7 linked regions of the Mus musculus genome follow. The protein of the gene in region 3 interacts with the protein of the main gene of each other region in a pairwise test. Links are inferred from orthologs where the notes say so. Each region holds a gene or a part of one and is shown on either strand. Other genes may lie near its edges. The genes, in order: Nab2, Ndor1, Tchp, Nme7, Krt16, Dydc1 and Cdr2.

The links.
Region 1: the proteins of Tchp (region 3) and Nab2 interact in binary tests that used the Homo sapiens proteins (3 or more experiments, as listed by UniProt). The two-hybrid records come from large-scale screens. The link is inferred for Mus musculus from reciprocal best matches to the Homo sapiens genes TCHP and NAB2.
Region 2: the proteins of Tchp (region 3) and Ndor1 interact in binary tests that used the Homo sapiens proteins (3 or more experiments, as listed by UniProt). The two-hybrid records come from large-scale screens. The link is inferred for Mus musculus from reciprocal best matches to the Homo sapiens genes TCHP and NDOR1.
Region 4: the proteins of Tchp (region 3) and Nme7 interact in binary tests that used the Homo sapiens proteins (3 or more experiments, as listed by UniProt). The two-hybrid records come from large-scale screens. The link is inferred for Mus musculus from reciprocal best matches to the Homo sapiens genes TCHP and NME7.
Region 5: the proteins of Tchp (region 3) and Krt16 interact in binary tests that used the Homo sapiens proteins (3 or more experiments, as listed by UniProt). The link is inferred for Mus musculus from reciprocal best matches to the Homo sapiens genes TCHP and KRT16.
Region 6: the proteins of Tchp (region 3) and Dydc1 interact in binary tests that used the Homo sapiens proteins (3 or more experiments, as listed by UniProt). The two-hybrid records come from large-scale screens. The link is inferred for Mus musculus from reciprocal best matches to the Homo sapiens genes TCHP and DYDC1.
Region 7: the proteins of Tchp (region 3) and Cdr2 interact in binary tests that used the Homo sapiens proteins (3 or more experiments, as listed by UniProt). The two-hybrid records come from large-scale screens. The link is inferred for Mus musculus from reciprocal best matches to the Homo sapiens genes TCHP and CDR2.

What each region holds. Positions count from the first base shown.
Region 1 is NC_000076.6:127,663,904-127,668,155, reverse strand, and holds the start of Nab2 (NGFI-A-binding protein 2), read left to right. Parts: upstream 1-1,452; 5' UTR 1,453-1,697; coding exon 1,698-1,780; intron 1,781-3,017; coding exon 3,018-3,891; intron 3,892-4,252. UniProt on the Homo sapiens protein: Acts as a transcriptional repressor for zinc finger transcription factors EGR1 and EGR2. Isoform 2 lacks repression ability.
Region 2 is NC_000068.7:25,245,415-25,248,914, reverse strand, and holds part of Ndor1 (NADPH-dependent diflavin oxidoreductase 1), read left to right. Parts: coding exon 1-10; intron 11-168; coding exon 169-283; intron 284-429; coding exon 430-579; intron 580-674; coding exon 675-793; exon of another isoform or gene 794-860; coding exon 861-955; intron 956-1,060; coding exon 1,061-1,205; 3' UTR 1,206-2,109; coding exon of another isoform or gene 2,110-2,206; 3' UTR 2,207-2,319; coding exon of another isoform or gene 2,320-2,658; 3' UTR 2,659-2,680; coding exon of another isoform or gene 2,681-2,731; 3' UTR 2,732-2,765; coding exon of another isoform or gene 2,766-3,140; 3' UTR 3,141-3,500. UniProt on the Homo sapiens protein: NADPH-dependent reductase which is a central component of the cytosolic iron-sulfur (Fe-S) protein assembly (CIA) machinery.
Region 3 is NC_000071.6:114,710,779-114,714,278, forward strand, and holds part of Tchp (trichoplein keratin filament-binding protein), read left to right. Parts: intron 1-474; coding exon 475-531; intron 532-2,645; coding exon 2,646-2,714; intron 2,715-3,500. UniProt on the Homo sapiens protein: Tumor suppressor which has the ability to inhibit cell growth and be pro-apoptotic during cell stress. Inhibits cell growth in bladder and prostate cancer cells by a down-regulation of HSPB1 by inhibiting its phosphorylation.
Region 4 is NC_000067.6:164,331,672-164,335,171, forward strand, and holds part of Nme7 (nucleoside diphosphate kinase 7), read left to right. Parts: intron 1-940; coding exon 941-1,107; intron 1,108-3,500. UniProt on the Homo sapiens protein: Possesses an intrinsic kinase activity. Displays 3'-5' exonuclease activity with a preference for single-stranded DNA. Does not seem to have nucleoside diphosphate kinase activity.
Region 5 is NC_000077.6:100,246,103-100,250,182, reverse strand, and holds the start of Krt16 (keratin, type I cytoskeletal 16), read left to right. Parts: upstream 1-1,280; 5' UTR 1,281-1,292; coding exon 1,293-1,811; intron 1,812-2,243; coding exon 2,244-2,326; intron 2,327-2,464; coding exon 2,465-2,621; intron 2,622-2,707; coding exon 2,708-2,869; intron 2,870-2,955; coding exon 2,956-3,081; intron 3,082-3,352; coding exon 3,353-3,573; intron 3,574-3,664; coding exon of another isoform or gene 3,665-3,667; coding exon 3,668-3,714; intron 3,715-3,854; coding exon 3,855-3,949; 3' UTR 3,950-4,080. UniProt on the Homo sapiens protein: Epidermis-specific type I keratin that plays a key role in skin. Acts as a regulator of innate immunity in response to skin barrier breach: required for some inflammatory checkpoint for the skin barrier maintenance.
Region 6 is NC_000080.6:41,086,411-41,089,910, forward strand, and holds part of Dydc1 (DPY30 domain-containing protein 1), read left to right. Parts: coding exon 1-3; intron 4-974; coding exon 975-1,079; intron 1,080-3,500. UniProt on the Homo sapiens protein: Functions as part of axonemal radial spoke complexes that play an important part in the motility of sperm and cilia. Plays a crucial role during acrosome biogenesis.
Region 7 is NC_000073.6:120,968,813-120,972,312, reverse strand, and holds part of Cdr2 (cerebellar degeneration-related protein 2), read left to right. Parts: intron 1-1,874; coding exon 1,875-1,987; intron 1,988-3,500.

The sequences.
Region 1 (4,252 bases), on a different chromosome or scaffold from region 3:
AAAATAACCGGACGGGGGAGTGGGGGAGGGGCGCCGCACACATTGAAGGAAAGGCCGTCTAGTCGCGCCCTCCTTAGTAGCAAAGGGTCGGGAGAAGGACCCTGCACCTTCCTACAATCCCTAGTATGTTTGGAAGACAAAAACCTGAGCTATTGAAATCGTTCCTCCTAAAGTACCCATCCCTCTTCGGGAAACCAAGAGATCCCCCTCCTCGTCAGTCTGGAATGAATCTGGAATGTAGAACCCGCCCCGACCCACACCACCCACGCCCTGCTGGGGCAAGCCACTCACAAGTGCTGAGCAGAGGGGCGGAGCCGAGGTTTCAAACTAGAGGGACGTTTCCTCTGGCCAGTCGGCCACGCTTTCCACCCCCACCCTCCCTTTCCCCAAAGGCCTACACAACCCCCGCGTGCCCAATACCCCCCCCCCAACCCTCCTAGCCGTGGGCGTGTAATGGGAACCAGATGGGACTAGAAGAAACCGAGGGGGTTGGGCTCCTTGAAGGCGGTCCTCCACGGTGGACAGTCACGTAGACTACTCTTAGCCTTTTGCTCAGCTTCCACTTCACTGTCCAGAGAGGTTCAATAACTCATGACCTCAGAGAAGGTACCTGCCTTTTCCTGGCTTTGCTATCTAGTCGTCCAAGCAGTAAGGCCTGGCCATCAGAAAAGAGGGTGCCACGAAAACATGGTAAACCCATCCGGGCTCTACCTAGCAACCCCGACGTGCCTAACCAACGCTCAAGTAAATAGTAGATTCTAGTATAACTTACGACCAAGGTTTGAGAGCCGCCTCTTCATATTACAACCTTTAGGCCAGAGAACGGTGTTAAGATACCGAAGGGATTCCTGCGCAGCCCCGCGCTAACAGGTTTACCCTAAGGATACATCCTAGGGGAGCCGAGCAGGAGGAACAGCACACCCCGACCCTTCGCTAACTTTTCCCCCATCACTTCTAACATTCAAACTAACGGCTCGGCGCGGCCAGAGTGCGGCCAACGGGCGTCCGCGTCGTTGTTTGGACGCGTGTGCACGTACGTGCGCGTGTCTTTGTATACTTGTGCGTGGTTGTGAAACTGCGCTCTCGGCTCACAGGAGTAGGAGTGGTGCAGGGAGTAGGAATGTAGCCGGCGGGGCGCTCACGTGGGTACGTGGGCGCAGAGAGGGCCGGCTGTGCATCCGGCGTGGGCGGCAAGGAGCGACCTGCCCCGCCCGTTGGGTCCCCAAGCTCCCCCTTCCACAGCTCGGCCTCGGTCACCTCGGTCCCCAACTCAGCGCCCGATTCCTGAGTCCCCGCTCCGCCTCCACACCTCCCCCCCCCCCCCTTCCCCCAAGTCTCCTCCTCTCAGTCTCCACAGCAGCCTCTCCAAGGCTCAGGCCTGGGCTCCCACCCACCGCCTCCGGTCCCAGCCCCCGGTTCTGCCCACGCCCTCCTCCCGCCAGCCCGGCAGCCAGCGCAGCGCCGGGCCTCGCTCCCTGTGCGTCCTGCGGGGGAGGAGGCGCGGAGAGGCGGCAAGCGCAGCCGGGGAGGTGGGGGCAGAGGCACAGACAGAGGCGCGGAGGCTCCGAGAGAGAAGACGTGGAGGGAGGGACGGAGCCTGGACAGCGGTGGACCCGGGCCGCGCGCGCCAGGCAAAGAGCAGCGCGCAGCAGGCGCCGGGCACCGAGAGGGGAGGCACTGGTGATCTCTGGCCGTCCATGCACAGAGCTCCCTCTCCCACAGCGGAACAGCCACCTGGCAGAGGGGATAACACACGCCGGACCCCGCAACCCAGATTCAAGTTAGTGGGCAAAAGGAGGTGGCAGGGAGTGGAGATGGGTGGAGTTGGACTCCGGAATGGGGTCTAAAGGGTGGAGGTCGAAAAGAGGACGTGGGGAAGCGGGACGGAGGTGGGAGGTGGAGACTGATGGAAAAGGGGGTGAGTATTCGAAATAGGGGATCCTGGAAGCAAACAAAGACCCGATGAACCTGGATACGATAGAGTACTGCCTCGTTTTCCACTCCAGGTTTACTCAGTGGGCATAACCTGGCACATGAGCCCCCTGCAAAGAATGTCCCCCCAGCCAGGGGAAGCTCCAGAGCTTGATCTGTCAACAGTGTGAGGGGTGGCGGCTCTTAGCTGTCTCAGTGTGTCATTAGCAGGCATCCGGGAGAAGGTGGTTCCTTTGAGTTAAGCATCTGCGGGCCTGAAGGGGGTGTGCTTCAGGCCTCCCTTGTCCGTGAAATGACCATTCACAGGGTGAGGAGGGGTGCAGCCCCTTCCTCAAGAGACCTTCAACCTCTCCCGCACTCCCTTGTCGAAGATAAGGGTGGAAAACAAGCGAGAGGAGAGTAGGCGGGAGCCCCCAGGCGGTTTTCGCCCACAGACGCTGCTACTGTGGGAGTGTGTGGGAAGAAGGGCCCCAGAGCAGAACAATCAAGGCTTCCCTCCCCCTTTCCCAGAAGAGAGGGGCCTGCTGAATAGTAGGAAGGATCAATCAAAGGAGAGGGGGTAACTGAAGGGAACTGGGCAGCCTTTGGAAAGTTGGGACAGAGTCTAGGAAGGGTGCTTTAATCCTTGGAAGCGAAGAACAGGAGCAAGGGTCTACCAGGTTCCCTAAATGCCAAGGAAGAGGCCACACCCCTCCCTCTCAGCTACCTGGCCAAGGAGTACAGCTGCCAGCAATAGCTCTTAGTATTCTAAGTTAACTTTAATATGGGATGTTACATTAAGTAATGTTGAGGCTGCTGAGTATTTAGGGGGAAGAGGTAAGGACTTAGTTGGGAGGGAAGTGGGTCCAGCCATTTCAGGGAAGTTATGAAAAGTCTCAGGGCTCAAGATGGTGCTGCCCAGACCAGAAAGATCAAAGTAAAAGACGAGGTAAGCGTTTTTCCTGATAGCTTAGGTCGGGCAACCGGCCTTCTGTGCTCCTGGGGATCGGAGGGCACTGTCCAGGAAAGAGGGCAGTTGTTAGTGTGGGTTGGTACCCCAGCAGGGCACTCATACTCACTGCCTCTCTCCTGCCCTTTCTCCTCAGGGCAAGTGCCCCAGCCATGGCACTGCCTCGGACACTGGGTGAGCTACAGCTGTATCGGGTCCTGCAACGCGCCAACCTCCTCTCTTACTACGAGACCTTCATCCAGCAGGGAGGAGATGATGTACAGCAGCTGTGTGAGGCTGGCGAGGAGGAGTTCCTGGAAATCATGGCACTCGTGGGCATGGCCACCAAACCACTCCATGTCCGACGTCTACAGAAGGCTCTGAGAGAATGGGCCACCAATCCAGGGCTCTTCAGCCAACCAGTGCCTGCTGTGCCCGTCTCCAGCATCCCACTTTTCAAGATCTCTGAGACAGCTGGTACCCGGAAAGGGAGCATGAGCAATGGGCACGGCAGCCCAGGAGAAAAGGCGGGCAGTGCTCGAAGCTTTAGCCCCAAGAGTCCCCTCGAACTTGGAGAGAAGTTGTCGCCACTCCCTGGAGGACCTGGGGCAGGGGATCCCCGGATCTGGCCAGGCCAGAGCACTCCAGAATCTGATGTTGGAGCAGGGGGAGAAGAGGAGGCCGGGTCTCCCCCTTTCTCCCCACCTGCAGGGGGAGGAGTCTCTGAAGGGCCTGGGGTTGGGGGGGTGGCAGCTGGTGGTGCAGGGGGTGGTCCAGACCGCCTGGAACCAGAGATGGTGCGAATGGTGGTGGAGAGTGTGGAGAGGATCTTCCGGAGTTTCCCCAGGGGTGACACTGGAGAGATCGCATCCCTGTTGAAGCTGAATAAGAAGCTGGCGCGGAGCGTGGGGCACATCTTTGAGATGGACGATCATGACGCCCAGAAGGAAGAGGAGATCCGGAAGTACAGCGTCATCTACGGCCGCCTGGACTCCAAAAGGCGGGAGGGCAAACAGCTTAGCTTGCATGAGGTGAGGACCCCGGGTCCTCAAGGCTGCCCTTCACTCCTGGGGCTCAGTTCACTTGCCTCTGAGACTTCTTCCGTCTTCCACCTCTGTATGACTGTCCCCACGACCACCCAAGCTCCTTCCCCACACTCACACATACCCAACCCCTGCTGCTGCTTTACGTTCTTGTCACCCAAAGGGAAGCTGAGATAATAGCAGTGAGCCCCGCACTGCTCACATCCTAGGTGCAGGAGGCCCTGATAGGGACAATATCCCCACCCCTGTCTTTAAGTACAGGCAGTTCCTGGGTATTATTTAAAGCAGACAGTCTTTGGATGGACCTCCCAGTGGTGGTAAAGGGGAAAAAAAACAGTAGGAAAGTCAA
Region 2 (3,500 bases), on a different chromosome or scaffold from region 3:
CTCCCTACTGGTGAGGGACTCTGAGTAAAACTGAAGACTGGCTGAAAAAACTGGGACTGGGTAGGGCGTGTGTAGATGGGGGCTGCCTCTCTACCAGGGACTGTCCCTCCTGGGGTTGGTAGTAGGCAGGAGTGCTTTAGCAGGGCAGTGCCATCACTGTGTCCATAGGCTCATCCCAGGAGGCTACAGATCCTTGTGGCTGTGGTAAAGTACCAGACTCGTCTGAAGGAGCCCCGCCATGGTCTCTGCTCCTCCTGGCTAGCATCCCTGAATCCTGGGCAAGGTAAATCCATAGTTCTGGGGCTCGGGGTTGGGAGAGAGTATAGCCTCAAGTGCCCATCTTCCCCTGTTCCTGCTACCCCAGGAGCTCAAGCACTTAGCACCTTAGCACTGTCTTTTGACCTCCTACATGCCATTTCCCTTCTGCAGCAGGACCTGTCCGGGTGCCTCTGTGGGTACGTCCTGGGAGCCTCGTGTTCCCAAAAACACCAGACACACCCATTATCATGGTGGGGGCTGGAACTGGTGTGGCCCCCTTCCGAGCAGCCATTCAGGAACGAGTGGCTCATGGCCAAACTGGTGAGTACTGGAGCTCCAAAGCAGTGTGACCTGACCACTGAGCCTGGTCTAGCTGAATTTCTGCATCCAGACGGGGACCGCCCTATGTACCCCAGGAAACTTCTTGTTCTTTGGCTGCCGCCAGCGGGATCAGGACTTCTACTGGCAGACTGAATGGCAGAAGCTAGAGCAGAAGGGCTGGCTGACCCTGGTTACAGCCTTCTCCCGGGAGCAGGTGAGTATATTCAAGTTAGATAGGACAGGAGTTGGGATGGCTGAAACTTAGCCTCTGACACCTGCAGGAGCAGAAGGTATATGTGCAGCACCGGCTTCGAGAGCTGGGGCCACTTGTCTGGGAGCTGCTGGATGGCCAAGGTGCCTACTTCTACCTAGCAGGGTGAGCAAACTTGGGAATGTCGGGGGGTGGACCAGCCTTTAGGGAAGGGTAGTAGTAAGGGTTGGGAATCGGGATCACTGAGCTTTCTGAGGCCTGCCTTTCCAGCAATGCTAAATATTTGCCTACGGATGTTTCGGAAGCCCTTATGTCCATTTTTCAAGAAGAAGGACGACTCTCCACTGCAGATGCATCTGCCTACCTTGCTAGGCTCCAGCAGACACTGCGCTTCCAGACTGAAACCTGGGCCTGAGGAGCCACTTGCTAGCTCACACTCACATTAACAGCTGCATTGGGTAGCCTGCTGGAGTCTAGAAGGCCCATTGTTACCTCTTGCCTTCTAATCCCAGAACACTGGGTAGACCCACAGTTTCGCTTTTTTGGTCCAGCTGACCAGGAGGGCAGTCCTTGCGTACAGCCAAACTCAGTGGAACCCAGTGTCCCATACGTAGGCCCAGCCCCGGTGCAGCTAGAACTCCTGGTTTTCTCTCAGACCCCTTCATTCTGCCCCAAATCTGCATTTATAGTCCCTACCACCAAGGGCCTGCTAAGCCCTCCAAAGGACATAGAGCTGTGCGGGCTGCACTGCCCGTCTGACCCCGTGCTATTCCCATTAGTCCCATAACACCTGTGCAGCTCAGCTCAGTTGAAAAGCCACCAGGGACCAAGTCTCCTGAGCATTGGGAATGGGCAAATCTGTCTGTCTGCAGGTCCATAAACATGAGTTAACTGCCTGGGTAGCCGCTCACTTCTCTTTTATTGCTTCTAGATTTGAGAGTGGTGGTTGGGACATGGATTATCTGCATCTGCTAGTGGTGGGCAAAGAGCCCTCCAGGGCATGAGCACAGGCTTGTACTGACAGTTTAGCCAAGCTAGTCCCCTTCTCTGATGGCCACACAACTCAGCCAAGCTCATATACCCTTCTCTCATGGCCAAGCAGAGAGGGCTTAGAGAGCTATTTATTTGGAAGTCCCAGCCAAGAGCCAGCATGCACTATTCTTTCCAAAGAACTGAAAGAATGATCAGGTGGAGGGGGTGTGATTTGTGTTGGCCCGCCCATGGGCAGGGCCTCCACTGCTGGGAAGGAAACCCTGTTGGAGCAGTCAGACAGGTCCAAGGGCAGCTGGGCGCTAAGGAACCTCGGTTCTGTCTGTCAGCTTGTGGAAAACAGGGACCAGACCAACACCACTCTTAGGCCTCAGATACCAAGAGTTGACATGCTGCGGGGACCCAAGTGAAGCTTACTTCCAGTGAGGTCAGCAAGCCGAAAGGGTTATCTAGAGGTTAGTGCTCAGGTGGATGGGTGGAGGCCAAGCTCTGCCTGGCTCCTGAGGGCCACACCTTCATATCTACAACAATCCCTGCAGTCATCCTGGAGTCTCCGTCTACGCATCCTGACCTCTGTTCTAGTGGTAACCTGGGACCTAATGACACCAGCTCTGTGTCTACTAGTTCACCCGGTGCTTCTCTGGGTCCTGAGCTCTTGGACCCACTGTGCCAGCTACCAGCAGATGGAGAGGATGATCTCAGGGCCCCTCTGGGTGCCAGAACTCCAGACAGTAAACCGGAACTGGAGGCCAGAGACCCATCCGCTGCCAGGGCCCTGGAGTCAACTGTGGAAGAGCAGGAAGGTGAGGGGCAGGTTGTGGAGGAGGAGGAATGTCCCATCTGTGCTGAGCCTTATGGGCCTAGTGAGCACCACCTGACCCTGCTAAACTGTGGTCACAGCCTGTGTGTGGGCTGCCTACACCAGCTGTTAGGCATGACCCCCAGAGCTGACCTGGGCCGTGTGTGCTGTCCACTGTGTCGTCAGAAGACACCTATGCTAGAGTGGGAGATCTGTCAGCTGCAGGAGGAACTGCTTCGAGCTGATGGACCCCAGCGCCCAATGCGGACTGCATCCGTCACAGCCCTGCATCCTGGCCCTTGGCCCTGGGGTCCCTTAGAGCACCGCTACCAGCTGCGCTTCCTGGCAGGGCCTGTGGGAGGGCGAAGCTGTCTCCCCTTCCTGCCCTGCCCTCCCAGCCTAGGCACCTGGTTGTGGGCACTACGGGAACGTGGCCCCTGTGCCCGCCGCTTGTCACTGCTGAGCCTACTGGTCCTTGAACTGCTCGGGCTGGTGGTCATCTTCATGCCGCTCCTTTTACTAGGGGTGCTCTTCATGCTGCTAGACCGTTCCACCCACTAAGCAGAGCCCAGAATGCTGGCCAAGCTTTGAAGTCCATGCACGCTTGGATTCTGGTAATCAGCAAAGACTTGTTATCACCAATACCAAGACTATACATGCCTAAGAGCCTACGCCAGCCAGAGTGCTTACACACCCTTGCAGCCTAGATATTAGCTAAAGCCAAGGACACAAGGACAGCCTCTGAAGGAGCTTGGCCTGGCAGAAAGAGTTGTGAAAAGAACCCTATGTGCTTGCCATGGGCGGTCATCTCACTGGCCACAGGCAGAAGCTGGGCTATACCGCCAGCTCGTAGTCCAGCTGGTGAGAGTGGACACAAATGTGTGATTCCAACAGTGATTCTGTTTATCCTGAGATCTGTTC
Region 3 (3,500 bases):
CCAGCACGAGTAAGGGGAAGCAGACAGGAAGCCAGCATCCACTCTTATGTACCTTTATAGGGAGTGTTTGGTATGCGGCTTATAAGTCACTGTGTGGGATTCACCTTCACTTTTTTCAGTTCTCTGGTCCCACCAATACCTGGGAACGCTATATTTTATGTTTTGGGTGGCTATGGTAACTAGTTGCAGTCTGTGTGTTTTAGCTTAGTATGTATTTGGAAACTTCTGCCCCTAGAAGGGACCCAGCCATAGCATCAGATCTTAGCTGACTCTTGGTCCACTGAGACAGGCATTTGTCCATGCCCTTCCGATTGGCTCTGATGCCCCATCTCCAGAGCTGGTGTGCAAAGGCAGCAGGATTTAACGGCAGACGGGGGTGTCATCACTGAAGAGAGAAGCTGACTTCTGTTGTATCTTGTCTAAGTGTGGATGAATGTGAATAGTGACCTCACGTCTCCTGTGTTTTCTTGATAGATTGCTGAACGACTTTTATATGAACACTGGAAGAAGAACAACCCCAAACTTCGAGAGGTGAGAACGAAGCCTCCCATTGCTTCGCCTGCGTAGGCACCACCGCGGTTTCAGATTTTGTTCCTTGTTTCTGGGTCTGGATGTGTGTTGGGCTGATACAGAGGGCAGAAGACCTGGCCAGACAGGGCTGAGCAGCGAACTCTGACAGGCAACCTGCCTTTGGGGGTATGTTCTGTGGCTTAGGAGCTCTCTGCCCAGTGGGCTGCAGAGACCTGGGCAGTGGGCTCAGGATGCTGCTTTCAGTTGGATAATATGGTGTGAGGAAAGGGCCTTCTGGATGGAGATGATTGGAAATGCTGCCCTGTGCCTCGAGGACAGAACCGAGGAAGCTATAAAGGGCCAGGTGAGACCAAGATGCCCCATGGCTAGGGAGTCCTGAAGAGATAAAGCTGGTGAGGAGATGGGAGACAGACCTGGACCAGCACTGCCTGGCCTTCCTCCAGAGGCTCTGGACCACTTTAGCAATGTGCAAGATCACTGCTGTATGTTGGGATGCTCCTCTTGGCAGCATGGTCAGCGTGAGCCAGGCAGGCTGGTGCTGTGTGTTGGGTTCCTAAGGTGAAGCCTGGTGCTCCTGGGTGGAGGAGACAGGGGCCATATCTGCATCCTGTCTTGGTTGGCACCTGTCACTGCACAGAGGTTGGCTGGAGGGCATTATGCCAGTTACTGCTACTGTCTACTCACTTCAGCAACGTTAGGACAAGTCTGACATGGTCACTTTCCGTAGCTCGTTGTGTCTAGAAATTGCCAGTAGTGATTCCAGGTGAGATGGCTCCGCAGGTAAAGGTGTTTGCTGCCAAGCCTGGTGGCCTGAATTTCATCCCAGCACCAACACGGCAAAGGACAGAACCAACTCCCACAGGTTGTCTTCTGGCCTACACATATACAACACACACACACACACACACACACACACACAATGTAAAAGATATTTAAAAAAGGAAACAAGAAAGTTAGATGGAGTAGTTCACTTTTTTCTTTCTTGTTGTTGTTTCTTTGACTGTTTTTTATGAAACAGGGTCTCATTACGTAGTCCTGGCTGTCCTGGAACTCCCTATGTAGACTGGGCTGGCTTTGAACTCACAGAAATCCACCTGCCTCTGCCTCTCTGCCTCTCTGCCTCCTCTGCCTCCTCTGCCTCCTCTGTCTCCGCCCCTGCCCCTGCCCCTGCCCCTGCCCCTGCCCCTACCCCTGCCCCTGCCCATCTCAGCACTGGGGAGGCGGAGGCAGCTGGGTCTCTGAGTTCAGGCCGGAAGTTTTGGCAAGCCAAGCTCAGGGCTGGCTCTGCTTACCCAGCGTCTCCCAGGCTCTCCTTTCAATTTGCAGTTTTGTTTGAGAAATGCTCGCTGCCCTCCCCTGGGCTCCGAGAGAGAGCATTGGCCCTTTGTGACCAGGGGTAGACAGGGCTTAGAAGCACGTGATCCTTTGGTTTCCTATTTGCTGATCATTCAGATTGGATTTTGTTGTTGATTTTTTTTTGTTTTGTTTTGTTTTTTTTTTTGTTTTTGTTTTTCGAGTCAGGGTTTCTCTGTGTAGCCCTGGCTGTCCTGGAACTCACTCTCTGGACCAGGCTAGCCTCGAACTCAGAAATCCGCCTGCCTCTACCTCCCAAGTGACGGGATTAAAGGCGTGTGCCACCACCGCCCAGCTCGTTGATTTTTATTGACGATTGTGTGTGTGAGGGGTGCAGATGTGTTGTAGCCCCTGTGTGGAAGTCAGTGATCAACCGTTGGGCGTCACTTCTCCTCCCGTCCCCCAGCCTCCCTTAGAGGCAGAGTCTGTCCTTTTCTGCTGCTAAGTTGAACTCTGGGCTAGCTGACCCTTAAATTTCTGGGCTTGTAGAGAGTCCTCTAGTCTCTGCCTCCCACCTCACCACAGAGGTGCAAGGAGCCCACACACACGCCATCCCGTCCTGCTCTTTACATGGGCAGTGCCAGGGATGGACCTCAGGTATGCAGACCACGGCTTTACACTTGACCCCTCTCGGTGGCCCTCATCAGGCTGTTTTTGTTGGGGTATCGAGTCATGGTCAGGTGGCACTGACCACAGCAAGTCACCTCAATCAGTCTCACACAAGCCCTCGGGCAAAGTAACATTTTCTTTCTCACCCTCAGCTTGAGTTGGACCTTCACAAGAAGCACGTGATAAATTCTTGGGCAACACAGAAAGAAGAAAAAAAACAGGTATGGAATGTGTGACCCTCACACACTGTCGGCACTTGTGACTCTGTCCTGTCTCCATGCTCTTGGCTAAATGAGCAGCAGGTGCCTGCCTGGCTGCTTGCTGCATGTGCAGGCTGAGGTTTGCTTTGAGCATGCTCATATGCATGTTCTTGTGTGTGTGCACACACATTCACATGTACGTGTGTGCACGTGTGTGTGGGTTCACATGTGTAGGTGTGTATGCGGGTGTGTGCATGTGTGGGGGTGATGTTTCTCAGGAGCCAGCTGTCGTTTTTTGAGAGAGGGTCTTTCAGAAGTCTGTAGCTTTCCCAAGTAGACTTCCAAGGACCCGTAGGGACCCCCTCACTTTCCACTTCCCTGGGACTAAGGCTACAAGGGTGGACTCTTTTGCCAGCTTTTTTAAATTAAAAAAAAAGTTTTTAAAATGTATTTTTCTGTGTATGGGTGCTTTCCCTGCATGGATGTGTGTGTGCCTCAAGCATGCCTGGTACCTTTGGAGGCCAGAAGAGGGTGTTGAATCCTCTGGAGCTGAAGTTATGGACGGCTTCGAGCTGCCATGTAGGTCCTGGGAATTGAACCTGGGTCCTCTGGAAGAGCAGCCACAGTCAGTGCTCTTAACCATGGAAGTGTCTCTCAGCCAGCCGCAGGTTTTTATTTTTTATTTTATTTATGTGTGTGAGTGTGTGTGTAGCACATGTGTGTAGCGTGTGTGTGTGTGTGTGTGTGTGTGTGAGTGTGTGTGTGCTGCATGTGCTGGTATCTGAGAGGTTAGGTGAGAGCATCAGA
Region 4 (3,500 bases), on a different chromosome or scaffold from region 3:
CTTGTTCCCTGTGAGAACTCCAATCCTGAGTAACAGAGGCAGGAGCTCCCTGGAGCTCTCTGGCCAGCTGACCCAACTTAAAGCAAACTTCAGGTTCAGTGAGAGAGCCTGTGTTAAGACAATAATGTGAGAAATGACTGAAGAAGACATCAGGCAACCTCCTATATCATGTATGTTTGTAGGGATGCACACTTGCATATAACACACATATATAGAAGTAGATATATAGAGAGACCCCAAAATGAAGTAGGACAACTGTTTTTTGGGATTAATCAATATTTGATAAGTAGTTACAGATAAATGGTTATCATAGTCATAAATATTACGGTTAAAAGTTGGTATCTGTATAAAATGTCAAATTAAAGAGGCTCTAAGAGGGTCCCTTTCTTTGCATCACTTCATTGGCAATCACTTTAAAAAGTCAGCTCAGTTGGGGTTGGAGCCTAGAGAGAAGGCTCAGTTAAGGGTGCTAGCTGCCCTTGTAGGTCCCAAGTTTGGTTCCCGGCACCTACACCGAGCCGCTCACAGCAACTGTAACTCCAGCTGCTGGCAAGCCAACAGTGACTTCTGCACCTTCACTCACATGTACCTACCCACAGAAAGGGAGACACACATGAATACACATCTCTTAAAGGAAATACAATTTTTTTTAGTGATTGGGATGTGTACATAAAAAGAAATATGAGAATCTGTCTCTGTCACTCATAGCTGGTGAGTTACTGAAATAACTTGGTCTATTTAGGATATTCTAAAATATATATTTTAATTACAAACTTTTATCACTAGATTGGATTGGAAATAAAGCTTCACAGTATAAAATATAATTTATATACGTAGTTATAAAGTAATAGGATATAGCTGTCTTTTGTAAAATCAATTGGAGACTTTTCTCTGTAAGGCGTACGTTCTTCATAAGTATTCTTACTGTGTCTGTTTCTAGCATGATGTAAAGAATCGTCGCACCTTCTTAAAGCGGACCAAGTATGAGGACCTGCGCCTGGAAGATCTATTTATAGGCAACAAAGTCAATGTGTTTTCTCGACAGCTGGTGTTGATTGACTATGGGGACCAATACACAGCCCGCCAGCTGGGCAGCAGGAAAGAGAAGTAAGAACAGCCGGGCCATCTTTTTCCATTGAAACCTTGCCTGTGACTTTGGCCACTAACTTCTGATTTCCTCTCCTCGGTCATGTTTTCACAACATAGTTTTTCCAGCGACCTAATATAATTTTATAACATTAAAAATATTTTGGTACTGATTCAGGGATTGGTTCCTAATTAGAATATTGAAGCAATATCTGTAGTCTTAGGAGGTGACTGTTTGGATGGGTGGGTGGCAGAGATAAAGCTCTTACACATTCTATCTGCTTTTTATATTTGTCACTAAAACCTAAGACTATTTGAGCATAAGGTTTTCTTCCTAAGCATAAGCATGATGCTGGTACGAATCACGGTAACCCGGGAGACGGTGAAGTTAGTTCTTGCAAAACTGAAGGCTTTGTGGGTTTGTTCTGTCTTGATAAAACTGAATTAAATTATTACCCCAATTAGATGAACTGGGGAGAAATGCTAATCAAAGGAGTGAGTATAGAGAAAGATCCAAAGGTGGGAAATCCTGTCTTAAGTTAGAACAACTATTTGCTATCCTGCTTGTGTAAGTTGGGGGCTAAAACTTATAAAAGTTTAATTACTACAACAATGATCTGAATTATTATGGTAACAGTAGATATGCAGAAGAAGTAAGGAGTGTACGTGATTAATAGAAATGCAGCAGTGCATGCCAGGAAGCAGCTCAGTTGGGGCAGTGCTTGTCTAGCAAAGATGAAGCCCAAAGGCCTGAGACCTAGCCCCGTGTAAAACTGGAGGTGGTGGCACGTTTCTGTCATGCCAGCATGTGGGAAGTGGAGGTAGAAAGATCAGAAGTTCAAGATCATATTAGTTTACAGAGGGAGTCAAGGGCCAGCTTGGGTTACATGTGACCCTGTCTCAAAAAAAAAAAACAAAAAAACAAAAAAAACAAAAAAGACAAAAAAACAAAAAAACAAAAAAACCAAATAACAAAGATCAAAGACAGTTCAAGTTAAGAATGGAAGTTCTAGAAACTTTGGGTGAGATGATGATGAGAAGCTGCCTCAGGGCAATTTAACAGAAGAGATAGGCAAGGTAACAGAGAATAGACCCTGCCCCAAGGAGAGAGCGATCAGAACATCAGAAATCACAAAGCAAGAAGTAGCTTGCTCCAGGGAATTTTATTCAGCTATAGAGAGTGAAATTCTAACATCTGCAAGGAAGTGGACAGACCTGGAGATCATTACATTAAGTGAAAGAAGCCAGATTACTGAAAGATATCAAGTGGGTTTTTTTTTTAAATATGTGGAATATAGATAGATGGATAGGTGGGTGGGTGGATTGATGGATGGATGGATAGATAGATAGATAGATAGATAGATAGAGTATAGAAAGGGGACCATGGAGGGAAGAAGTTTAAAGAGAGTGGGGAGTTGGGGAGTGAGAAATTGTAATAAAATATACACGTCATAAAAGCTAACAGATTACTGGGTGAAGGGAAAGGGACTAACAAGAAGTGAGTCAGGATTAGGGAGGGCGGTGGGGTGTGAAAAATAGCAGACTATAACAAAAATATCACCATGAATCACATTATTTTATATATTAGCTAAAAATAAATTTTTAAAAGACAATTATGTCAACTATAATGTGTGGGCAAACAAAAAGGACAACCCAGTGGGACGGAGTGGGCAGTGCACTGCTCCACTGGGGCAGATCCCTGCAGGAGGACCTGGGGCAGGGTGGGACAGAAGCCTCATCTGAAAGGGGACAGAGGAAGGGACTGGGTAAGCTCGGTCTGTGAGTGAAGGTCAAGGAGGTACATTATGAAAATGGAACACTGAAGCTCATTGCTCTGCGCAACCACTAAGATAAATTTAAATACCAAAACCCAGAAATTCGGGACTGGATAGGACCTGGGGACGATTCTTCTCTTGCTGTCTTACTCATTTCCGTGTCTTCTGCATCCCTGAGCAAATCTCTTTACGCATTGCAAGAGCAAGGTTAATTTCACCTCCGAGTTTTGCAGCCTTCATTCCGTGACTTTTTTGGCTCAATGCTTTGGGTCCCTGCAGTAGAACACATTATGAAGGATATTGAGTGGTAGAGGAAGCTGTTTACCTCAGGGCACAAAAGGGTCTGCAGTCCTAACAGCCCTTCTAAGCTGTGACCTAAAGACCTCCCAGTAGCTGCACCACACACACACACACACACACACACACACACACACACACACACACACTGCACACTCTCTCGCACACATGCAGATACCCCCACATGTACCTTTTTATTATTCTTTCCTTACTGCTTGCCACCCTGATTTTCTTTAGTTTTGGTTTAGAAAGAAACAGAACCAATTGGAGATGCAGCTAAAAAGCAAGCTTTAAAGAAAAACCAAAAACCAAAACCAAAAATGGACTTAATAATGATTCTCT
Region 5 (4,080 bases), on a different chromosome or scaffold from region 3:
CCTCTGTCACCTGTAGATTGGTGTTGGGAACAACACCCACCATGGGCCTGCTTCTGAGAAGTGTGTAGCAAGCATGACAGGTATTCCTTACCAGTGCAAAGCCCTGTGCACACTGGGCGAACAAAGATACCACGCCCAGCTTGAGCAGTTCCTGGGCAAGATGGTTTCCACATGGGAACTCTGAGACCATGAAGGGGCAGAGTGGGGGTAGGGCTGTTGACAGACAGACAGTATTAGAAGCAAGATAGAATTCCCTTCTACTGAATCCACAGCAGAGCAAGGGGGTGTCCCTGAGTGGGTGAGGGCAGGAGGTGGCATGGAGGAGCTGTGGCTGGGCATTCTCTTAGTGCAGGGGTTTTACGTTAGGAGTCAGAATGTAAAGGTTGGATCGAAAAGCAGCAAGGTTGCAGAGGGAGGATGGAGAGGCTGACCACAGGGAAAGGGTCCTGCAGGCATGCTTCTTTGTGACTTGTATGTGTCCTAAAAGAACTGAGGCCCAGAAGGATGACAAGGTCCTCTGTACTGGGCAGTGAGTGAGAGGCAGTGGGTCTGTGGCAGCATAGTGTGTGGATGCTATGGTGGACACCACTCTGGACATCCTGGTGTCTCAAAGGCAGCTTCCAAATGCAAACTAGATCCTATGGGAATGGAAACCTCTGATTTTTTAGAACTAGAAAGGACTGCAGCTACCCAGCCCAGACTTGTCCCTGTGGAGGGAGAGCAGGCACAGAGAGGGGAGGTGAAAGACTTCAGGATCCCTGTTGAACAACCTAGGTCTACCACGTGCCTTGTAGGATTCATACGACAGTATCCAACTTTGGGATGACATCAGTGAGACTCTAGCCACCAAAGGTTCTCACTGTGGGGCAGGGACTGGTTGACTCACAGCCTGAGGACGCGCCTGCCAGAGGTTGCCTGCACCTAGGGCTCCTTGTTGCTCTCCCCTCAGGCTCCTGGAACAGAAGCCCATTTCTGACTACACAACGTGAGTCAGTAGTGACTTGAATTTGTGTGTTTTTCTCTTGGCCCCACACCCACAGATCTGGGCAGGAACTCTGAGCCAGCAATGGAAGAGAGAGAGTCCACCCTGGGCTGAACAACCCAGAATAGGGTGTTAGACAGGACTGACTGAGGAAATCCCCAGGGGAACTGGAGTCAGCAGTTGGAGGTCCCGCCTTCCCCTGGTGCATATAAAAGAACCTGGAGTCTGAGGCACCCTCAGCATCTGCAGCCTCCACTGAGCAGTTCTCTCTTCTCCCTGCTCACTTGCCCACACTCTCCAGTTCCTCAGCATGGCCACCTGCAGCCGCCAGTTCACCTCCTCCAGCTCCATGAAGGGCTCCTGTGGCATCGGTGGTGGCTCTAGCCGCATGTCCTCCATCCTGGCTGGAGGATCCTGCCGGGCTCCCAGCACCTGCGGGGGCATGTCAGTTACCTCCTCTCGCTTCTCCTCTGGGGGAGTCTGTGGGATTGGAGGTGGCTATGGTGGGAGCTTCAGCAGCAGCAGTTTTGGTGGAGGACTTGGTAGTGGATTTGGTGGTCGATTTGATGGATTTGGTGGTGGTTTTGGTGCTGGTCTTGGTGGTGGTCTTGGCGGTGGTATTGGTGATGGGCTCCTGGTGGGCAGTGAGAAAGTGACCATGCAGAACCTCAATGACCGCCTGGCCACCTACCTGGACAAGGTGCGTGCCCTGGAAGAGGCCAACAGAGACCTGGAGGTGAAGATCCGGGACTGGTACCAGAGGCAGCGGCCCACTGAGATCAAAGACTACAGCCCCTACTTCAAGACCATTGAGGACCTGAAGAGCAAGGTGGGTGGCTCTGGTGGATGAGAGGTTAGAACTACAGTGGCCTTTAGCAAAGACAGTTTTAGAGAGGCTAATACATAGGCAAGAAGACTAAAGACCTTTGGAGGTTAATGGTCATACTTATCCAGAGCAGGGGCTGAGGGTCCTTTAAGAACATCCATGCCTCAGGTGGACCTGGGACCCTGACTCTTAATCTCCTGGAGGATACTTTATGCTGCAAGCTTAGCTCCTTAACTCTGTGCCCAGGATAGGGGTGATGGTAGACATGAGTGCACGTGCATATAACTTGAGCTGTGTAGAGAAGTATGTAATCAGCTGTTGGAAGCTTTAGGAGCTGGCCTGCTGGGCTTGGGGTGGCTCCTTTTGCTCTTCTCTGTCCTTGAGTCGTAGGGTCTCTGGGTGATCTGACTTCGCATCTTTTCATTTTCTCTCTAGATCATTATTGCCACCCAGGAGAATGCACAGTTCACTTTGCAGATTGACAATGCCAGGCTGGCAGCTGATGACTTCAGGACCAAGTGAGCAGCCAAAATGCTGGGCAGAGGGCAGAGGGCAGAGGGCAGAGGGCAGAGGGCAGAGGGCAGAGGGCAGAGGGCAGAGGGCAGAGGCCAGGGACACAGTAGGTCCATCTTCAGCTTTGACTTCTCTCCTTCCAGGTACGAGAATGAGCTGTTCTTGCGGCAGTCCGTGGAGGGTGACATCAATGGCCTGCGCAAGGTGCTAGATGAGCTGACCCTGTCCAGAGCTGACCTGGAAATGCAGATTGAAAACCTCAGAGAAGAGCTGGCCTTCCTGAAGAAGAACCATGAGGAGGTGTGGCTCCTGCTGGGTTTGGGGATGGAGGGCTGGTGTGGTGAGTTTCCCAGGAGATGTGACCATGCTCTTGTGATCTTTCCTAGGAGATGCTTGCCTTGAGGGGTCAGACTGGTGGGGACGTCAATGTGGAGATGGACGCAGCCCCCGGTGTGGACCTCAGCCGCATTCTGAATGAGATGAGGGACCAGTATGAGCAGATGGCAGAGAAGAACCGCAGAGATGTGGAGGCCTGGTTCCTGAGAAAGGTGGGGGCCCGCTTCCTCCCTACTCCATGACTCTTGGCCAAGTAGGCTTTGGAGAGTCTCACACCTTTCCCTCTCTTCTGTCTCAGACTGAGGAGCTGAACAAAGAGGTGGCCTCTAACAGTGATCTAATCCAGAGCAACCGCAGCGAGGTGGCTGAGCTCCGCAGGGTGTTCCAGGGCCTGGAGATTGAACTGCAGTCCCAGCTCAGCATGGTATGAAGAAGGGGCCCTAGTGCAGTCCAGTAGTCCCCATCCCTCAGGAGCCACCAGGGAATGAGACTGGAAGCGCCATGGTATCCATTATAGAGATTGAGAAATTAAAGCCTGAATGTTTGGGAAACATTTTTTCCAATATGTCTCTTCTAAATACTGCTCCAGCTGGGGTCAAGATCTATGTACCTATCTCAATAATGTGCCCAGGGTTTCAGCAGAGACAGAGGTGAGCATCACCATTGATCTTCATTCCTGTTTTCTTCCCTCACAGAAAGCATCCTTGGAGAACAGCCTAGAAGAGACCAAAGGCAGATACTGTATGCAGCTGTCCCAGATCCAGGGTTTGATCAGCAGTGTGGAGGAGCAGCTGGCTCAGCTTCGCTGCGAGATGGAGCAGCAGAGCCAGGAGTACAACATCTTGTTGGATGTGAAGACAAGGCTGGAGCAGGAGATCGCCACCTACCGCCGTCTGCTGGATGGCGAGAATATCCAGTGAGTTGACCCTGAGTCCTTGCTCACAGTACCTCTGCTTCTGCTGCTCCCTGCACATCTAATGCTGCTGTTTCTTCTTCCCTCATCCCAGCAGCTCCTCCTCACAGCACTCCTCTGGACAGTCCTATTCTTCTCGAGAAGGTAAGGCTCCTGAGACCAACAGCTTGACTCTGCAGAGTCAGGGCTAAGGCCTTCCTTAAGAGTCCTAGGACTCCCTTTCCCTTCTTGGAAGCTTGCTTAGCTCCCAGAATCCACCTTACCTTTTTCTTTTTCTTTTGCAGTCTTCTCCTCATCCTCCCGCCAGCCCCGGTCCATCCTCAAGGAGCAAGGTTCAACCAGCTTCAGCCAGAGCCAAAGTCAGAGTTCCAGGGACTAATGTTTTGCCTAGAGCCTCCTCACCCACAACTGCCTCTCAAGCTGAGGGCTTGGGGCAGGACCCTGTTTTCTTTGCGCATTCCCCATCTGTCTCCCCTACCCTCTCATGGTGGTAGGCTAATAAAGCTTTTT
Region 6 (3,500 bases), on a different chromosome or scaffold from region 3:
GAGGTGAGAGGGGAGACCTACTGTGTGTCGTGGGACATGAACACATATCTTAGAACAGAATCTTACTTTTTGTATCAGTGGTGTCTTGGTTAGGGTTTTACTGTTGTGAACAGACACCATGACCAAGGCAACTATTATAAGGACAACATTTAATTGGGGCTGACTTACAGGTTCCAAGGTTCAGTCCATTAGCATCACGGTGGGTGTATGGCAGCATCCAGCCAGGCATGGTGCAGGAGGAGCTGAGAGTTCTATATCTTTATCTGAAAGCAGAATACTGGCTTCCAGGCAGTTAGAATGAAGGTCTCAAAGCCCATACCCACAGTGACACACCAAGTCCAACAAGGCTACACCTTCTAATAGTGCCTCTCCCCAGGTCAAGCATATACAAACCATCACAAGTGGCTAAAGTTTTAATAAGGGCACTGTCAATACCAGAATGGGCATGGTGGCATACATATGTGATCACAGTGCCTCAGGCTGGTAAGTTGTGATTCCTTCCAGGCATGCCTAAAGCTATATAGTGAGACCCTGCCTTAATAAAACAAAAGCAAAACCAAAAAACAAAAACAAACAAACAAACAAACAAAAAACCTATGGAAGTGACAGCCCAGATGGATATTTTGGTGATAAGGCACAGGTGTGCAGTGTCTTGAAACAAATTTCAAAGTGAATACAATTTGGACATTCTGTTTGTACTGGAATATTTTAAAGCTACAATGTCCTGTTATGTTGCCCATAGAATTGCTTACAAATTATGTGTATTAAAATTCCAAGTGGATTTAAAAATAGTTTTTAGTGCTTCATACTAGAATTCTCATACCATTAGCTGGCAGTAGTAGACGTGAATTCTACCAACTAAAAGTGATGAGTCTTAAGTGCTTAACTCAGAAATTTTATTTCAAAATTGAAAGAAAAGGGGCATGCTCATATTGAAGCCATGTGAAAGTAGAAACTGAATTTTGTGACTGTAGGAATTGGTGATGGACTCGGGTAAAACCCTAGCGGAGATCAGCGATCGGTACGGGGCGCCTAACTTGAGCCGGGTGGAAGAACTTGATGAGCCAATGTTATCTGATGTAAGTATCAAGATCCCAGGACAGATTGGTTTTTGTGTTGATAATGTCTAGTGTGTATGGGATTGGTTTGTAAATAATAGTTTCCTTTATGTTAAAAAGGCCAAAAGTGCAGGTGCTAATAATCAAAAAAAAATTTTTTTAAACCTTTATTTTATGTGTATGGATATTTTGCCAGTATGTCTCTATGTCTGTGTACCATACATCTGCAGTGCCAGTGGAGGCCAGAAGAGGGTGCCAGATCCCCTGGGAGAAGGTTCTGAGCTGTTCTATAGGTACTGGGATTCAAATCCAAGTCCTCTCCAACAGCCAGTGCTCTTAACTGCTGAGCCACTGCCCCAGCCCCGCTAACCAAATTCTTAACTGGTGTTCTGCCTGTGAAGGAGGCCCCACTGGCATAACTCTATTTACATGTATAGCTCTATATCTGTCTATGTTTCAATCAGTGGATAATAATCTGTATCTATATATTTTACAGTTGGAATTTGAAAGCATCAAAACTTCTTAGAAATACATGTGTAAGGGAGTGGGAGGGACTAGAATGTAAATAAATGAAAGAAATAATAATAATAATAATAATAATAATAATAATAATAATAATAAACAATAAAAACTACCAAGATCACAAAAAAGAAAAAAGAAATACATGTGCGCCGGGCGTGGTGGCACACGCCTTTAATCCCAGCACTGGGGAGGCAGAGGCAGGCACATTTCTGAGTTCGAGGCCAGCTTGGTCTACAAAGTGAGTGCCAGGACAGCCAGGGCTACACAGAGAAACTCTGTCTCGAAAAACCCAACCCCCCCCCCCAAAAAAAAGAAATACACGTGTGTAAAATAATTTTGTGAAATATGCAATCCTTAAATTCAATAGGGAAAGAACCGTTTTGGCTCTCTGGAACAAACTCTGTAAACACATACATAGTTTAGTGAGAACAAGTGTTTTTATAGTATATTATTGCACATGTGCATTTATCACGCATACTGTGATGTCCATGCCAGGCATTGTGCCAGACGTAGTGGGGAGTAAGGCAGCTTTTCACCTGCTCGAGTTTTCTGCTTAGAGGAGGAACGCGATCTGAACAGCACTAGGTGCTTATCAGGAGAATGACCAGGAAATCTACTATTTATACCCATGTGGTTTATGGCTGAAAGAAAGGTCTATGAATAACTGAATCAGATCATCAGGGGGAGTGTCTTGCCAGGAGCAAGAAGACACTTAGTTGTCAATTTGTGATACCTGGAATTGAATTTGAATCTCTCTCTCTCTCTCTCTCTCTCTCTCTCTCTCTCTCTCTCTCTCTCTTTCTTTCTTTCTTTCTTCTTGTTGTTGTTTTGAGACAGGATTTCTCTGTGTAGCCCTGGCTGTCCTGGAACTCATTCTATAGACCAGGCTGTCCTCGAACTCAGAAATACACCTGTCTCTGGCTCCCAAGTGCTGGGATTAAAGGCATGCACCACCACTGCCTGGCGAATTTGAATTTCTTCCACCAGATTAGCCGGTGGGGGCATTTTCTTGAATGCTAATTCATGTAGGAGAGCTACCGTGGGCTTGGGCTGAATAAGAAATTAGGAAAGTGAGGGAATCAGTTGGCAAGTCGTGGTCTTGTTAGGGTCTGAAAATTGCTGAAGGAAGACTCCAGATTCAAATAGTATGCAAAGACAAAGAGTGTTTATTCTGCAGAAATAACCAGTATGCATAGGGGTCAACCATTCACCAAAATGGCCAGTCCATAGGAGCTCCTGGCCCTTTTTAATGTAGGGCTAGAGGAATTTTCCAGAAGGATTAGGTAATTTCTAATGTGATTGGTAGGGCCAAAGTGGTGACATTAGTAGAATTTTGGTCGGCTGCTATGTTCTTCTATATTTGGTGAGACCTTAGAGAGTTGGTTAGGTAATCTAAGGTTTCATTGATGGGTGATGAGGATGCTCCATGGGTTGTTTTCTGATTGGCTTGTGCCAGGTGGTCTGTGGTCTGCATTTCTCTGTCATGAACGTTTAGCCACAGGATGAGATACCTAAACCATACAAGGCTGCCCAGCATAGATGGTCAACCTGAGATATTTCCCTGTTCTTGTGGTTATCTCCAGGCTGTCTTTGGATGGGGGAATTTTATGGAGCTGGTGACTTATAACCTAGTTCCTGAGACAGATAGATGTCTTTCCTTTTGAAGCCAGGCCTGGTCCTGAAATGGAGGTGACGCTGTTCTTTCAGTCTGGCCTGGTCTAGTCATCTATGGTTTTTGCTTCAGTTCTTGCCCCAGCTTCCCTCAGTGATGAGTTGTGACCTGGAAGTATAAGCAAGATGCTTCCTCCTCCTCCTTGCCACGTTGCTTTGGCTGTGGTGTTGGTCACAGCAACAGAAAGCAAGCAAGCTAGAACAGGCACGTCTTGTTACTTCATTCTGTGGGTACTGAGAGGGTGAGAC
Region 7 (3,500 bases), on a different chromosome or scaffold from region 3:
ACCTGTGTCACCATAATTGCTGGGATTTTTAAAGTAAAAGCCTTGTCCTCTGGCAACCCCAGCAAGCTAAGCTCAGTCACCTATCTTCAGTACACCATTAAAGAGACAGATGATTGGGAGGCAGAGGCAGGCGGATTTCTGCGTTCGGGGCCAGCCTGGTCTTCAGAGTAAATTCCAAGACAGGGCTATACAGAGAAACCCTGCCTCAAAAAACCAAAAAGAAAACATAAATGAAAGAAAGAAAGAGAGAGACAGATGATAGTGAAAAACAAAAGATTTATTTAACATGGCTATCCTGGGAAGAGGAACAAATATGAGAGGCCTACATCCCCATGTCCATTTAAGGGATTACTAACATGAGGTGTAGGTGACTAGAGAACAGGAGGTTTATATAACTAAGCAGTGCTGATCAAGGTGAGGTCCTGCCTATGTTGTTTCAGCTCTGGTCTGTCCTATTGGGTGGGCTGATAAGTTGTCAGTCAGAACTGTATGGAACACAGCCTTTCCTCTGGTAGGGGGCTCCTGGGGGAGATTTTAATTATTTGGGGGACAGGGCACAGGTGTCTCTTGAGATATCTATCCTGTCAGGGTGTTTACATTGCCACTATTATTGTTTTGTGTTTCTTTTTCTGTTATTACTAAGTTTCTATTCCTGGGATTGTAATATAACAAAACCTGTCTTGCTTGCACATATGTCTAAGAAGGTAATTGATAAATAAGCTTTAAAACCGAGAAGCCAGATGCGGTGACTCCTACTTGTAATCATAGCATGTGGGAAGGTGAAGGAGAATTGCTGTGACTTCCCAGGACAGTGGGGGCAAGAGGAGCAGGGCTGGAATACAATAGCGCCTGGCCCCATGTTTAAGGGAAGTATGAAACAAAACCATATTGCTGCTTTGCTTAAAAGCTGTGATAGGGCTGTGTGGCAGTGGTACATGCCTTTAATCCTAGCACTCAGGAGGCAGAGACAGGCAGATCGAGGCCAGCCTTGTCTACAAAGTGAGTTCCAGGACAGTCAGGCCTCACAGAGAAACCTTGCCTTAAAAAAACAAAAAACTAAACAAAACGGAAAAAAAAAAAAAAGAAGAAGAACAAAAAAGATGTGATAGGAATTGGGGTTGGGAGAGACAGACTTGTGTGTGAAACAAGTATCTCACCACTGGCATTAATGTTTAGCTGCCCTGAGAGTCTAGGATATAGGGGGTTGGAGAGAGAGCTCAGTCATTAAGAGCATGGCCTGCTTTTGTGGAGGATCTGGAGTAGGTTCTTAGCACTCACATCAATAGGTCACAACCACATGTCACCCCAGTTCCATGGGGTCCAGTGTTGCTTCTGACCTTCAGCGGTACATAAACTCTCATAGACACACACACACACACACACACACACACACACACACACACACAAATTCAAAGGAAACAATTTAAAGGAGTCCAGACAACAAACTTTGCTTTGCCAGTTGTGTTCACAGTAGCTTGCTAGAAATTTTGGAGGCTGCTAAGAGGCCTATCTCTTTGGCTCAAGGATTCATCTCAAAAGCACAATGTCAGGATTTGAATAAGTCTTTTACCAAAAGACTATTTGGAATTGTAAGACTGAATGGTCATTTCTGAAATAATGCCCACATCTCTATGAAATAGACTACTGTCTTTTATGTCTGACAGGGTGCATGAGAGAGTCCTTCACCTGCTAGCAGGCCCCAGGTCAACTGAATTTTAAGTAGGACTCGGATTTCTTTTAGGTCATTCTGCGTTCTACTGGGACCTGACTTGCATGTGTGGGGCTTGCTTCATTTACTTTAAGAACTGAGTTATATAAAAATTGAAGTGAGCTCATTGGACTTGCTGCGTCCTAAGAGTTGTTTGTTGTGCCAGATCTCCAGCTTGCTGCTGAACTTGGAAAGACGCTACTGGATCGGAACACAGAGTTGGAAGATTCTCTTCAGCAGATGTACACAACCAATCAGGAGCAGTTACAGGAAATCGAGGTAATTTATTCAGTGGGAGAGGTACATCCTCTGATGTGTGGCTCTCTGCTGTTGTCATCGACCTCTAAAATAGCACTTGCAGCTAGAAATAGTATTCAACTTGGAAGTAGTCTTTTTTGAGAAATTGAACCACCAAAGACACTTTCTTTAGATGTGCCTAGTAGGTAAGTATGCTCTGATTAAAAATAGTTTTCTCTTCAACCTTGGTAAAGTGTGTAAAAGTAAACAATCTAGTATTTGCCAGTGTGTAAAGCAAATGCTATGAAGTTGTACTTAGTTTTTTAAGTTTCTTTTTCTTTTAGTAATAAAATTAGTTATGCAACATGGAAGGTATACAGGAAAGCACGCACATGCAGAAACACATGCAGAAAGCATGCACATGCAGAAAGCACGTGCAGAAACACATGTGGAAAGCATGCACATGCTGAAACACATGCGGGAAAGCACATGCGGAAAGACATGCGGGAAACACATGCGGGAAAGCACATGCAGAAAGTGCATGCAGAAACACATGCGGAAAGCACATGCAGAACAGGACTGTGCAGCCCAGCCCCCCCACCGCCACCCCCCAGTTTGGGGAGAGAACTGCCCAGACTATTGACATTCCCTGCATACTCTTCTTTGGTGGCACCTCCCTCCTTCCAACTAAACACCATTCCATATTTAGAGTTAGGTAGGAAGGTTTGTTTTGATGCAGTATTTGATTTTATAATTTATTTTAACGACCTGTGCTTAAACTTAAAGAATTAGTCAAATTCTTGTTATTTATTTGAGACAGGAAGTGTTGTTCTGCAATCTGGGTCGGTTTGAGACTCAGTCTCCTGCCTCAGCCTTTACAAATTTTTGTGAAGTAAACATACCGGTGCAGCCTACACTCAGATAAGGAGTGAAAACATTATCAGTCATTCACTCACTACCCCAGTAACCAGCACCCCACCCAGACACCCTGGATTAGCCTCTGTTTGAACTTCACATGAGTGTAGTGACTTGTGCAAATTTTAACCTAACTTTTACTTCGGTTTCATTTGCTTCTGTGGATTTCGAGTGCTGAATACACGCTCTGTCCCTAAGTCTCCGGGGTCCTAAACTTTTCAAAATTTTATTGACAGTTTTCCTCACTAGACAAGTAATTAAAACATGGAGTGGGAGTGTTGTTGTTTTCTAATTTACAAAAACAATAAGGCAGGTGTGGTAATGCGTACCTTTAATCGTCAGCACCCAAACTGAAGCAGGTGGGCCTGTGAGTTTGAGGCCAGCCTGATCCACAGAGTAAGTTCCAGGACACCCAGGGCTACATAGAGAAACCCTGTCTTGAAAATTGAAAAAGATAGAGAAAGAAAAACAGTTATGATTAAGAACCAAAAAGTCAGCATTTACCCCATCTCCCAGAGAGATCTAAAATGAGTTGAAACCATTGTTGAACAAAATACTGATCGGGGATGAGGGATACTGGTCAGCTGGTGAGAACAGGAGGAGGAAGTCTCTAAGACTTACTATGAAGAACACGGGGGCG